Struthio camelus: one gene and its partner. The protein of the gene in region 2 purifies or fractionates together with the protein of the main gene of each other region. This does not show direct contact. Links are inferred from orthologs where the notes say so. Each region holds a gene or a part of one and is shown on either strand. Other genes may lie near its edges.

The links.
Region 1: the proteins of SOD1 (region 2) and TKT purify together in Homo sapiens (affinity purification with mass spectrometry; 3 studies listed by BioGRID, with this or other methods). This does not show direct contact. The link is inferred for Struthio camelus from reciprocal best matches to the Homo sapiens genes SOD1 and TKT.

The regions. Positions count from the first base shown.
Region 1 is NC_090955.1:17,493,427-17,500,351, reverse strand, and holds the start of TKT (transketolase), read right to left. Parts: upstream 3,005-6,925; 5' UTR 2,778-3,004; coding exon 2,671-2,777; intron 1-2,670. UniProt on the Homo sapiens protein: Catalyzes the transfer of a two-carbon ketol group from a ketose donor to an aldose acceptor, via a covalent intermediate with the cofactor thiamine pyrophosphate.
Region 2 is NC_090942.1:119,551,606-119,559,530, reverse strand, and holds the start of SOD1 (superoxide dismutase [Cu-Zn]), read right to left. Parts: upstream 3,016-7,925; 5' UTR 2,643-3,015; coding exon 2,568-2,642; intron 1,863-2,567; coding exon 1,769-1,862; intron 1,247-1,768; coding exon 1,177-1,246; intron 1-1,176. UniProt on the Homo sapiens protein: Destroys radicals which are normally produced within the cells and which are toxic to biological systems.

The DNA.
Region 1 (6,925 bases), on a different chromosome or scaffold from region 2:
AATACCTCATGTTATGAATTTAACTGCCTCTTAAGAAATCTTTGCAACTTCCACTTTCAAGAACGTAACCATCTAATTCTAGGAAGTCAGGCACTGTTTCAAAACTGCAGAAATTTATCGCTAGCCACAAATGGGATTCTACCAGTTTTGGTCCAAACGTCTGCACTACTTATCTAAAAGAAAAAAAAACAAACTTCCACACCCAAAAGCAAAAACGTTCTCAATCTTTGCAACTAACTTGAAACGCCTTAGGTGGGGAAAAATTGATTAAGTATATAAAAGTGTTTCCAGTTGACTGAGTTCTTCCACTGCAGCTGGTAAAGCAGTCCTCATATCAAAATCATGTATTTGAGCATCTTCAGGATCGGATTACCTGATCTTTCAGACTTTGTCCAGACAAAGCCTGCAATTGCTTTAATAAACGCTAATATGGGTAAAGACTGCAAGACCTGGCTTGTCAAATCTACCATCGTACTACATTTCTTGCAAAACATGTCAGTTTACAGAAATTACTTCCTTGAAATAAGTAGGCAGGTTCTGTTTTGTTTGAAGTGTTTGTAAGCGTGAATTGCAATAAAAGCAACACCTTCAACAAATATGAATTTCTTTGAAAAAGTCAATGTAAGCATGACTCAATCTTTTATTAACAGGAAGCCTCTATTTAAATATAACCTGCGCTCAAACATCTATCCACTTTCTTACTGTATACCAGCACTTTAAGCTAAGCTTATTGTCTCATTCGGGAATCTAAAAAACATAACGTATATCCCTTTTAGAAATGCATGTGTCTTCACTAACACTGCAACAAATTGTGAGCTCCCTAAACTTCTTTTTCTTTTCCGTTAAGCATATTACTACATCACCACCTTGGTAACCAAGTCTTATTAATTCAGAAAATACAACCTGTCCGCATAGTCTTCCCTCCCATCTTTCATAATCTGCTCACTACCAGGTTGCGTAATAATTTCACACTCTACACAAGTCATAAGTAATGCCAGAATAAGCTATAGCACATATTAATGAAGTATCTTTGTGTAAGAAGTACTTGCCACACTTGTAGCATATATGAACCAGGGGAATATAAAAACCTTAATTTAAATAATTTTTACTCTTTGCTCATCAGTATAGGAGGAACACTATTACTATTGAATTTCACGAACAGCAGAAGAGAAAGCAAAGGCTGTACCAAGTCCCTTATTCTTTAAGGGCACATCAGACAAAACAGGGAGATAACTATATCTGTAGACAAGACAACTGATATCACACACCTCCTCTGTGGCCACCTTAAAGCACGCACTATAAGCTCAAGACTGAAGCCTCAGCTGTACTAAGCAGATTTAGCCCATTTTCCCTACCTGTAATTTCATATAGGCTCGTGTAATATTACCTATACATTGTAGCTTTGAAAGAAATCAAGAAGTGAAGAGCAACCGCTGGGCATCTTGCACTTCTCTCCACAGACCGGATCAAACAAGCTACCACCTAGCGAGAACCCATTCCCGGGGCTGGGCTGGCCGAGAGGTTCCTGTCCTCCCAGCATTGCATTTTGCAGAAAGAACCAGAGCAGCATTTTCACTTGCTATGTGTGAAAGGAACGAGCAAAGTTCACTTTCTGAGTGCTTTGAGAAACGCCATGAGAGGTAGCCCATGCCAGAAACAGGCTGGAGAATCTAAGGCAATTCAGAGAGGAAGCTTGAGGAAATTTTAGAGATCAGCTTTCTCCACACGAGCCTTAGTATCCTTTAACTTTTTTTTTTCTTTTTTGGAAATGCTACAGCTAGTTTCAAAGATGTCAAAAGGGAGGAAATTGCAGGAAAATAGGATATAAAAGAGCAGTAGCCCATATTGAGGCACTCGAGTGTATTATTCAAGCAGAAAAAATGGCTTTAATTTTACATGAGCAGAAAAGGATTGTTTGCCGAGATTTTTTTTCCGTAGGTACAGCACGATCAAAGGAAGGATAACCCTGGAATCTGCACACATCAGAGCCTAAACTAAATCCTGTCCAGAGGCCTGAATAAACTGCCCATTGGAGACTGCTGGCATTTCACAGATAATCCCACTTGGGCTCACTTGAAATTCTGTGGAGAATTAGTTCCAACTGACGGGCACGGAATGAAAAAGAAACCGTTTGCGCCTCGGGCAAAAAATTCTTTGTTTTTTGCAGCCCTGCATCAACTTGGGCCGTGGCGGTTTTCCCTGCAGGCGCGGCAGGCGCTGACCCCGCAGGGCAGGGCGGCCGTTGGGCGGCCGTTGGCCCCCGCCGCGCGCCCCCCGCCGCCATGATTTCACGTCGAGCACGGCCACCCTCGCGCCCCCCCCCCCGCCCGGTTTCGGGCAGAGCCCGCGGCGCGGCGATGTGTCTCGGGCAAGGTGGACGTGACTCGCGTGGCGCCAGCCCTCCCCCACGCCGCCTCCCCATCCCTCACAGCGCGGATTTCCACCCCCCGCCCCCAACCACACACACACATATACACGCCGCTGCCCTCCCGCCGGCACCGCGGATGCCCCCGGGACCCCTCACACGCTCGGTATTTTGCAAAATGGGCGGAGAAGGGGGAGGGAGAGAGGAGGGGGTTTCTGCCCGTGCCGGCGGGCAGGCGGCACAGCCCCTTCCCCCTCCGCCCTGCACGTGCCGGCAGGGGCGGGCGCCGCAGGCACCCCGCTCACCCGGAGCCGGCGGCGGTGGTGGCCTTGATGGAGCAGACGCGGAGGCGGTTGGCCGTGTCCTTCAGGGCCTGCAGCGTCTGCTGGTCGGGCTTGTGGTAGTCCTCCATGGGGCCGGAGCAGGAGCGCCGCGGCGGCAGCGGTGGTACCTCGGGCTGGGCAGGGACGGCGGCGCTCGGCGAGGGCTGGGGGCAGCGCGCCGCAGCCGGGCCGTGCGCTGGAGGCGGAGGGGAAGAGGGAGCGAGAGCGAGAGCGAGCGAGAGAGAGAAAGCACGGCCGCGCCGCCCCGCCTCCCGCCGTGGCCGGGTCGCGCACGCCGCCGCGGCCACCCGCAGCAGGGGCGGGCCCGGCCCAGCGCGGAAGGCTGGGGCGGGGGGGGAAGGGGGGAAGCGGGGCCGCCGGCTCCCCCTGGCGGCCCTGCCCGCCGCTGCCGCTTGGCCAGGCGGCAGGCGGCGCTGGGCGGGCCCCGCGCAGCCGCAGTTAGCAGCGCGGCTCCCCCGCCCCCCCGTCCCCCGGCAGGCGCCGCGGCGGGCGCGCGCCGGCAGGTAACGGCCGCCCTGAGGCGGCTCCTCGCTTCGCCGGCGGGACTGAGGGAACCGAGGCTCTGTCAGGGGCGGCGAAGGACCAGTCCCACCTGACGGGCCTCGAGTTCATGTCTTTCCGCCAAGCGTCTTAGGGGGAGTGCAGGGGGGTTGAGGAGTCTGCCTTCCCAGCTCTAGCCTCTTTCTTTTGCATAAAAGAAACGTCACTGCATCAAACCTACGCTAATTTTGTTGCCGTCTCCCCTGACGGTATAGAGGAACAAAATTAGCACGTGCAGCTTCCTTTCAAGAAATAATGCATGCTTTTATAATATACCTTTAAAAAAACCCTCTGCCTTTGAGAAATTCAGAGAAGCTTTCTTTGAAATACAAGCCCTACCAGTCATCACAAGGCACAAAATGTACTTTCTCTAGCAATTTGGAAAACTCAGACATTCAAGTCATTCCAGCTACAGACTTAACTTTTCAAGTTAAATAGCTCAATTTTATTCTAGAAAGCCCTAGCAGTACTAGATTTCAACATCTGGGAGGAAAAAGTGTTTAAACAGACAGAAAACAAACAATAAAAATCCAAATACTACCAGTTTTGCTTGTTAAGCCTGGTCCTCCTTCACAGCACTTTCCACACACTTTAGTGTCCTACCTGCAAGAAGTTTGTCCTGGATTCTGTAAGCTGTATTTTATGATTCTCTAACTACAAATACATTTCAGAATATGTTTTAAATATGAACTATTACATGTAGTGAACAAGTGCTATCGTTATCTCATTTCAGAAGATGATACTGATGTGCATTATTTACATTAAAAAAAAAAAAAAACGGGCCTTGTTCTTCAAGACTGAAGGGGTTGGGCTTCAGAAACAAAGGAAAGTGCCCTTATTTATAAAGTAGCCATGCTCCTGTGGCAAAGCGCAGCTAAAAAAGTAACAATGTGCAACTCTTAATAAGGAAAGATAAAACAAAAAACTTTCTTCCACAAAGTAACCACTCTATTGGAAGAAATAAAAGCAGACACCACCCTGCTAGCTTAACCTGTTCTTACCCTGTTCTATCAGTTGTCTTTTTCAAAATCCCTTTTTTGTTTTTGTTTTTGTTTTTTTTTTTTTTTAAAGAACCTCAAAAGAGCTGTGCTAGAAATAGGCTACATCCCAGGAAAGAGGAAAAAATTGAGCTGAACAAATGGGAGTAGCAAAGCTCAGAGTTCATTTTAGAGAGCACTACACAAAAGTTAACTGCTACAACTGCTATTTACTATGCTCTAATCTATATGTTTAAATAATTAGGCCAATTACTTTCTTTTACCGTTGTAGAACTAGTTACCCACACCTTTTAATTCTAATAATACCCCCTGAAACGATACAGGCAACGACATTGGAATGTGGGAGAGGCTGATGAGAATTACATAAACCTTGCTTTGAATTTAAGACTGATTCTTCAGAAATCCATAATGCCAACAACATGAGCAAAGTCCCATAAGAGCAGACAGCCAAGAACCGAAGTACAAGGGTTACCGTGCACGTCTGGTAGCGTCTCAAGGAACAGAAAGACACATCACTTACTCTTATAACATGCTATATCAACACAGCAACTAGTAATTACTGTTGGATAAGAGACCATAGCAAGAAGATCCTAGCTGAGGAAACAGAAAAAGAACTGCTAGACATGCTGGAGGTTTTGAATTTTTAATTGAATAGTACTTGACTTCTTTGTGGTCTAGTTCCTCCTGGAGCTATGACACCCAAGGGAATAGAGTCACAAGGGAGACTATGAAAGATCTAAGGTCTTTAGTAAGATCTACAAGAGAACTGTCGACCTCCTCCTTTTCGGATTGTGAAAACAACCTTAACTATTGCAGGAATAGCCGTAAATTCCAGCTTTAGGTTCCCAGTATCCTGTAGGGCTCCATTAAAGATTCTCAACTGAATGTTGTGCTTGCTATATACCTGCAAATATCTTCCTAGTGATCTGGCTGTGTCATCATCTCAAATAAGCCTAAAAACAGTTCAACATTACTGTAGAGTGAGGGTTACACAGCTTTCCTGCCTCTCCTCTGTGCTTCCTTGCATCCTTACCACTATCTTTTAGCTTCACTGTAGTTATCACCACAGTTGACTATACTCTGGCTGCACAGTCAGAGGATAAGTCTAAATTAGCTTGTGCCAGGAGTACACTTCTGAAGCAAATCTCATCATCCTTGCTCACTGTGCTTTGGTTTGCACTGCAGAAAAGTCTCAGAGCTGAAACTAGATTCATTTCAAATGTAGAGAGAACTGAAAATTCACTCTTTGAGAAAGCAGCTAATATATCCCAGCCATTAATGGCTATTCAGGCCAACAGAACAGATTGGAATTCTACTCCAGACTAGCCCAAAAACACATATAGGGCTGATATTGGGTCCTCAGCCCCATCTTGCACGCTCTGCAGATCTGCTTTGCTGGGATCTCCTACTTGCTGATGTAGAAAAAGACACAAAACTAAGTTACTAGCACAATAGTGTTAGCTTGAGGTCTGCTCTATGCTTACTGATTGAGTTGTTAGAAAATGGCTGTCCTGGGGAAGTGATTTTTTTGTTTGTTTGTTTGTTTTAAATATACTGTTTAAATACTATTCTTCAGACAGATCTTGATTCCTGGCTCAATCATTATGTCATGGACCTGTATTATTAACTTCATATCACTTGGGCAAGGTTGGGTAGGATAGACTGGTCTACCTGAAACTATGGTTTAGAGGGAGTCAGATCCTCAAACGGGGCCAAGCAAGATCAGCTACCTTAAGAAGGAAAGAAACAATAGAGAGAGAGAGAGAGAGGGAGAGGGAGAGAGAGAGGAAGGCACAAATGAAATAATGGCTATGATACAAACCTTCACAGTACCAAGTGTTAACTGAAGACACATTATGAGAAGTTGGCTGTCCAACCTTCCAGTTTCAGCTGCAGACATTAAGTTTCCCAGAATGACATTTGCATCAGGAAATAAAAAGCTTATCCGGAGATCCAGGTACCTTGTTCCTCTAGCTAGCTAGTAGTATCTATAAACACAGTAAAAAAATATTATAACGAAAATGGGTATCATGTGAATAATCAAACAAACAATTTCTACTTTTTTTTTTTTTCCTTCTTCTAGTAGATTTACTCCATGTTTTATGTAAACAGGGTTCAGTCACTCCCTGCTTCATAGTCAACACCCTTTGTTTTTCCTCTCAGCTCTTACATATGCATTTGACTAGACCACAGCTGCAAATTTGGCTGTATCAGCCCAGGCTGTTTTCACCCTTTGCCTGCAGAGTAAGGCCTGTGATCAAGTTTATGGTTACTGTGAATATATGCTCCCTAAGAAAGTGGCTTCTAAGCGTACTGCAGCAATCTACCTTGTCAGGCTGGACATATGGTGCTTTCTTTTTTTCCTCCTGTAAGAAAATAAGGGGGATGATCTGGATAAGACCAGTATTACTAAGGCTCACAGCTTACTGTTTTCTCCATTGTTATCTGGATGGTACAAAGGCTTTCTTTAAGATAGACTTAACTCAGATAATGTCATAGGGAGATTACTGCCCACAACTCACCCTCCTTCCCTGAATCCTCCTCTGCTGCATCATTGAGTGCTTATTCATGGTTGTGCTGTTAAAACAGCAGCTCAAGCATGCACAGGATGAAATTCCACCTTGTGTTAGTTCTTCCACTTTGATCTACTGAAGTGGCATGTTATTTCTGCAACTTTA
Region 2 (7,925 bases):
CGTAGGTTATGCTAGGAGAAGAGTTTGACTAAGCAGAACTGGCAGAAGCCATGATGTGCATGCAGTTTTGGCCTTTAGCACAGGAGCATTTGACTGCCTGGGAAGCCCACAAGCAAGCCACTTCATACTGCCATCATCCAGACAGGTGACTAGCAGCCACAGCTTGGTTTGGCAAGCAGTTGAACATTGTGCTATTCATTTATCAGTCACAGAAGTTGCGACTATGGACTTTAGGTGAGCATTTAAATCATATCACACTGCCAAGTCTACACCTATCTGTAGAAGACGGGCTGGTCTTGTACACTTGCTGCCACATTGGCCTTCAGTTCTTGCACAGCCCCTTTCCAGTGAGTATACTATTTGAGCCTGAGCAAGTGGTTTAAATAGTATGGGTATCAGACATGCAAAGGCCCCTTCAAGGAACTGGACTATGAAACTGCTCCCATGAAAAAAACTAGGCCTCAGCTCCATGTCTCAACTGCCACTGAGGCTCAGTAGTGTTCAGAACAAACAGACCCCATACTTGCACTCAGCACAGATCCCCTAAAAGAGAATGTCCTGTAAGCAGTACAGTGCCTGAGCTGACAGGTTAAGCACAGCCCAGGCTGAAAAGTTGAGCACAGCCTAGTACTCAAACCACCACCATGCCAGGCACACTCAGCTTCCTATTCATTTTAGAGTCCCCCTGCAGCTCCAATCCCTTCCCCAGATAATCCCGATTTTGCCACATAACAGGCCTGCATACAGGTCAATAGGTCCTTGACAGATGAAGGCCCATTGTGAAAGGCTATTTGCTGAGCAGGGCCCTGACACAGAAGCAAGTCACCACTGACCAAGTGGAACATTAACACATGAATCCCCTTCACCCACATCCTGAAATACCCTCACTCAGTAAAAAATAAATCTCTCTCCAAGCTGTGATTAAGCCAAGAACACATCTCAAAGACTACATCCTATCCATACTCTTGGAGCAAAGATAGCCAAGATACCATTCCAGTTAGCAGGACTTGTATTAACTGACCCTAGAAGACTTGCTGGAATTGCCAGTTTTCTCCCTAGCTTTGTCCTAGCATGATCCAGGAAGTGGTCTCCCAGGCAGAAAGGGGTCTCACTTAAAGAGCTGCTGGCTTAAAGTTGAACAGCTACCCAATAAAGGATCAGGCACATTAAACTCACCTTTCTGCATCAGTTGGTCCACCATGCTGCTTGCCTTCAGGATTGAAGTGGGCACCTGCACTGGTACACCCTGAAACAGATCAGACATCAGAAGTGTAGGTTTTCACCACAGCCAATATAAACCTGTCTACACAATACAACAAGGTAGTCCTCTCACAGAGAGAGGAAGCAAACTCTCTAATGATAAAATAGCTGTTCTCATGCCAGATATTATCCTGATCCATTGGAGGCAAGTAACCTATGACAGACTTGCAAGCCTTACTGAGTCCAATAAAATATAACGTTCTGGAATACAGAACATTTTCAGATGTTCTTGGTTTAGCTGAAAGTAGCATTCTCAGTTCTTAACACCAGGTCATCGTAGTATTTTAGTGCTTGATATATCAGGTTCTGAAGACTAGTTTAAACATGTTTAGAGTATTAACTGGGAAATAATTTGTTAGAGAATGTCATCCTTTCATAAAACAGTCTTGCAGTCACCAGACTACCAAGTACATTTCATACTAGTCAGCACTGTAACACTAGAAGAAGCTCTTTACAGCTGAACAGTCAGGATACAGCTCTAACTGGAAAGCCTAGATACAGATCTTACCATTTGTGTTGTCCCCAAACTCATGGACATGGAAGCCATGATCTCCATCATCCAAGCATTCGATTTTTCCAGTAATTTTTACTGGTCCATCACCCTTCAGTAGAAAGAGAGTTTGTTAGCACCTAAATGACTACAGTATTAAGTGGGCTAATAGCAGCACATGAAGCTTTCTGGTCAACAGAAAGCACTGGAGACTCCACTGCAAGTTCAGCAACCAACATGAATGGTTACCCTCCTGCATGAATTGATTCCATCTGCCAAGACAGCATTTCACAGAAAACTTGCATTTGTTTAACCACCTAGAAAGCATTCCTCCGATTAATCTGTCAAACAAGAGGGATGCCTTCTTTAAGATTACCTGCTTTTAGTAACCACGTGCTTCAGCATGCAAGCACAAGCAACCCCAAACATCGGTGCTCCTTCGCAGGCACAGCATTACCTCAGTACAGTCCCAGCTATGGGGAACAGCCAACTCGGGAAGCGTGGAAAAGGGCTCAGACCACGCAGCAGACTGACCCACGTAAAGTCCCACCCTGGCAGCGACAAACAGGCTTCCCAGAAGGGCTGCGGCGGGCTCCAGTAACGAGCCTTGCCAGGGGGCCCCCAGGGGCGCAACAACCGCAGGCCTAACCCTCCCCCGTCCCCCCGTGACGGGGCCGAGCCGCGGCCGAGCCCGCGCGGCCCGGGGCAGCCGCCCCCGCGCAGCGGGCAATGACTCAGCACCTGGCGAGCCCCCAAGGCCGGGGCGGGGCTGAGCGGAGCGGGCCGCCCCACCGGTCCCTCACCCGCCGGCCCTTGCCTGCTGCTCAAAGTGGATGAGGCCATGCACGGAGCTGTCCCCCTTCATCACGCACACGGCCTTCAACGTCGCCATCTTCCCGCGGCGGCCGGACGAGCGGCGCAACAGCAACAACCAACGCAGCGAGCGCCCCAGCACTGCAGAGCCGCCCCCTCCGCCCGGCGGCTCTTATATAGCGCGTTCCTCCCCCCCCAACGCCGCAGCCAATCACAGCGCGCCTTTTTAGCTTCCTCGATCAATTACTTCGCGGGTTGCGGCCAATAAAGGGGGAGGGAGCGCCGCGGCGCCCGCTGCTGAGCCAATGGGCAGGTGAGGCGCCTCCCCCGGCCGCGGGGAGCGGGGGAGGGGCGGAGGGGGGGGCGCGCCGCCTTGTGTAACGGAGGCGCTGCGGGATTGACGGCGGCGATAAACAACGGCGCGAGGGCCGCCCCGCCTCCCCCCCCCCCCCCCGGCGCCTCGCGCCGCGACCGTTGGGGCGGTTGGCCGCCGCCCCGCGGGGGGTTGGCTGCGGGAGTGGCTGGCCCAGGTAGCTCGCGTTGGTTGCTGAACGGTCGCAGGGGGTTTGTCTCTTGTGTTTGCCGGCGCCGCGACGCTCGGGCGTTCGGGAAGCGGGGTGTTTCTTAAGCAGGCTCACTTTAAACCCTTCCCCTCCCCTCCCCCGCGAAAAGGATGAGCTTTCGGTTTTTAGGTCTCACCGCGTTAGGGTTTCATACTGACGTGAAAAACACGTTTTGTGACAGGCATGCACTGAGGCAGTAAGATTAAGAATCATCCGCAGCATTTTTTTGTCATTTTCTGCAACTTTTTTTTCCCTTCTGTGTATTGTTGTACTTTTTTTGTTTGTTTGTTTCCCTACTGAGAATTCCAGTTGAAAAGCTGAGCGCGCTTACAAAGCTGCCTCAGCCTAGCTTTGCGCTTCAAAGAAGTGGCCCTGTCCAGAAGGTGTTTTGTTCCCCGTGCAAAAGCCACGGGGGTTTCCGTCTGGAGTTGGTGGTGCTGCTGCTCAGCTGCTGACTGTCAGGTTACGGTGGGCTTCTCGGAGCCCCCTTTGCCCATCGGCTGCCCGCAATCACAGGCTGGGTATCTAGTACACAGCTCAGGCAGACTTGTGCTTAACGTGGAAAGTCTCTTGGTGTAGCCGCTGATGAGGACTACTTGTCTGAGGGGTGTGTAGGGAAGAGGTGACAAATTCTCTCCGTGCTGACAAACCTTAGGCTCCGAGGGAAAATTAACATCGGACTCAGGGAGGATATATCTGTGCACTTTTGTATGAAGAGCTGCAACCTCCAAGAGTTTTAAGAATAAAATGATCGCATTTAATAAACGCCTTTTTGGTAAAGCCATGTTCCTTGTTTTCCTGCTGCATTACTGATGAGCAAGTTGAATCAGAAGTCCAAAACGATCGTATAATAGCTGTACCTTGAGGCAGTCTGCGTGTATGACTGAGGGCCCTGGTGATCTTAAGACACCTGGCAGAGAATGCCCTATGGTTAAGGAAGGGAGCACAAGGCCTGTTTCACACGTTAGGCTCAGTTTTGAATCCCAGGAATTTTATGGGGGCCTGACGTTAATTGTGAGGAACAGAGATTCGTTTGGTTGAATGGCATATTTCTCTGAGAAAGAAGCAGCAGGAAGGAAAATGCCAAATACACAGGGAGCATTAGTCTGACAGATAGATAAAATGTTTGTAGTTTGATCCTGAAAAGATGCTGAGAGAGAAAGAGAGCTGGGCTGCATCCCAAATAGGAGGCGTCTCGGCACTGAGAGTTCATGATCTTCCTGGAGTTTAATTCCTGCTGTGCATGGAGAGAAAAGACTGTAAATTGCTCATGAACAAAGAAGTCTGTGGTAATGGCACAACCTCCATCATCCTGAATGTTGGCTGGATCAAAAGGAAATATTTCAGTGCCCTCAAGGCAAATGTTGTTTGATTTAAAAAATGGCTTGTAAACGTGGAAGGATAGTAGTGACTCATTATGCTATCTACCATCTTTGGCTTCCGATGTCCTTTTTTTTTTTTTTTGTCAGTGTCTTTTCATAAGGAGAAACATCTTGAGTGCTTTGCTATGGTGCTTCTTCTTATTCTTAGGCCTGTCTCCAGATCTGCCTTGGTTTTTATCAGACAGATTTATTCTTTCTTTCCTGGAGATAAGTTCTCAAGATCCACCCTTCTTCATGCCTCTACATGAATGTACGACAAGCAGATGGATAAGCAGCTCTACCAAAGAGAAGAGCCAGATGTGCCAAGCCTCCTCATACGTAAAGTGAAGTAATAATTTCAGAAGTTTGTCGCATTAGGTGTGACCAACAGGTTACAGAGTTCTATGAAAAAAGCCTGAACTCTGAGATGCCTGATCTCTCAGATAGAGTGCAGCTGACAAAGATGACATGTTAAGAGACAGCGTAGAGGTCAGCGGTAGAAGGCTAAAGGAAAGATATGATTTTGAAGGACTAACATACAAGAGTTTGTATGGTATGTGCAGATCAGTAATCACGTACAGGCTGTGGCCTCACCCTTTAGAGTGTTTTCTATTCCTACATGCGGTACAATAGTAATACAAAAATATTGGTTTACATGAATACTCTTTCACAGGAGTCTTGCGTAAGAAGCTAGAGATTTTTTTTCCCCACATACTTCCTTTTCACTCATTTCACTCATTTCACTTTTTACTTTCTTAAATCTTGCTAGCAGGGAACATTTTTTGTGAAAATCCACCACAAAGAAGTTGAACAAAGTGTCTGGTGGCAGTAACACATTGGTTTTTTTATTCAGAATATCAGAGTCAAACCAGAGAGGAAAGAACAAACTGCCAGGTGGGATTACTAACTTTGATAGCATGAACTACAGTCAGACAGGCGATTTGTCAGACATAAGAAAGGAAGTGTGGTCTCTTGCAACTTTGGCAGTTACTGTTTGACACCAAAGCCCCACTCTTTTTTGACCTATACTCTTGTTCTGCCATCTTACCTTGGAAAAAGTCTAAACTCGGGCCTGTTCGCACCTTCATAGCTGCAGTGATAACAAAGAGGACTGAACTGGAGCCCAGAGGGTTGAAGCAAGTATGGGAGTGACAGGCTTAGGGCTAGGTGGACACATGATTTTGAATATTTTCTCCATTCTGCAATTGGCTACATAGTGTATCCATTTTAGCAGGGGAATGAAGCCGTTCTTAGTGTTGGTCAAAAGGGCTGCTCACATCGCATAGAGAGACTCGCAGGTAAATCTCTGAAGAACTAGGATTCATGTTAGCCCTGATTGTTTCCTAATTTGCCAACTTAAAGCGCTAACGGCAACAAATGAAGTAGTGTGTCATGTGGGTTAACAGATGTCTAATCTACATAGACTCATCAACTAATCAACTTCTAAGCAAAACGTGCAAAAATAACAAAAAATCCCAAACTTTCTGTACTGTAAAAATATGGCATCCATCAAGCATTAAGCCTCTGCAGCACATTAACTCGCATTCTGATTCAGATTTTATATTGATTAAAAAATTAGAAGTTCAGGAGTTATGGTTCCCATGACAACCATACCTCTGAAGCCTTGTGCAAATGTATAGTATTTCTACTTCTGATGACTCTTCTGGAAAGATATGAGGTGAAACTAAGATTGCCATGGGAAGCATCATTCCAGGTCTCTTGAGCTTCTGTGCATAGGTGCTCACCCATCAAGATTAGATACGTTATTAATCTACGTTAATGTCATTTTTATGTTTATTCTTTCACAGTAACAAAGGTGAACTGAAACAACATGAATAATAATTCTTTCTGTAGGACCATTAATTCCTTGAATGTGCATCTCTGAAGGGGAGGCTGCTGGCAAGATTAAGTGCAGGTGAGCTTATTCTAGCATGCCAGGAAAGGAAACAACCATTACTTCTCTGCAGCCTCACGTTCCAGCAACTGAGGATCCTAGCAGGGCTGGATCAGAGCAGTCCTTCCTCCTGCTCTGGGAGCAGATTTATGGCTATTCTGAACCCATTTTTGCATCTCAGTGGGTGAGTGCGTTCTGTTTAGCTTAAAGGCCTGATTACACAAAGACAGTGAGCAGTGGCTTCCCGCTGCAGTAAATGCGTTGCTTGCCTGGTCTTCTTATCTAAAGCTTCCCTTCAGAAATGTGGAAGCTAAATTCCCAATGTTGGTATCAACTTGTGCTGTGGAATCATAGAAGACTTGTAGCATTTGGGAATCACTTAATACATAGAGAACACAAGATGTGCATGTCTGTTCAGGCGTACCCAGTAAGGAGAGTGCTGTACTGCATGTAGATAATTCTGTATTATGAATGGTCTAGAAGACGCTTGTGTGTGTGTGTATGGCGGGGGGGAGGTGGGGGGGAGGTCCTTCAGAGTCCCACAGTCTAGATCCTAAATGCTAAAATCTGCAAAAATCTAATGCTTGCCCTGTCCTTGGACTCAGCTGTCTACACATAGGTGTCTAGCCCCATCTGTGATACCTCCAGGTATCTCCTCTGGCCTCTAGCTGCTGCTGCAGGAGGGGTCCTTGAGCTCCTGTTGCCTACCTGCCAGCCCCTGTGCCCCCCTTCAGGCTCTCTGTTGCATTCCAGAGAGCCCCAAACACCTATCCTGAAGAACCCAATCCAACCCTGAGCCTTTGCGTTGTCCTGGAAAATGCATCGTGTGCCATTAAAGTCTTCCCATTTGATTACATGTGGGTAATGACACTTCCCTACCTCTGAGGGATTCTGGGAGAGGTAATTAACTCAGTTAATGTTTGTATAGCATTTTGAAGATGAAAAGCACTGTGGAAATCAGGAGTTATTACATTAGAAACTTTGTGACAGACTCCCTAGTGCAAAGCATGTAATTCCAATTAAGAGTTAGTAGAGCTGATAACCAAAGTATTCATATAATTAAAACAGTGCCAGCCTAGAAAGGCTTTGAATGGAACATAAAAGATTAAACATAACATTCACTTTTGACATCTTGTTGTCCTTTTAGTAGCTAAATTGAGGTATTAAGTCCCTAATTCTGCGTTGCTGTACAAGCTGAGTACACTTGAAATATGATCCTCAGAGGACAAGTTTGTGTAAATATTGGTGAAGACCTTTGTACCCAGCACCAGCACTTGAGGCCACAAGTTACGACAACCCTTCTCAGGCACTGGTGCTATTCACGATCTGTCCGCTGAATTTTTTTGCTGGTTAACATTCAAAGAGCTGGATTTTAAATACTTCAGACAGGGCCAAAGCCTGCTCGTGTTACTCCAGTGTGTATTTCTGGTGAATCCAATGGATTATGCGGTTCCCCTGCTGAACCACCACAGGACTGGCCGTTTCCACTCTCCCTCTGGGGAGTTTGGGGGCCCTGCTGTGCAGAGAGCTGGTGATCTAAAAGT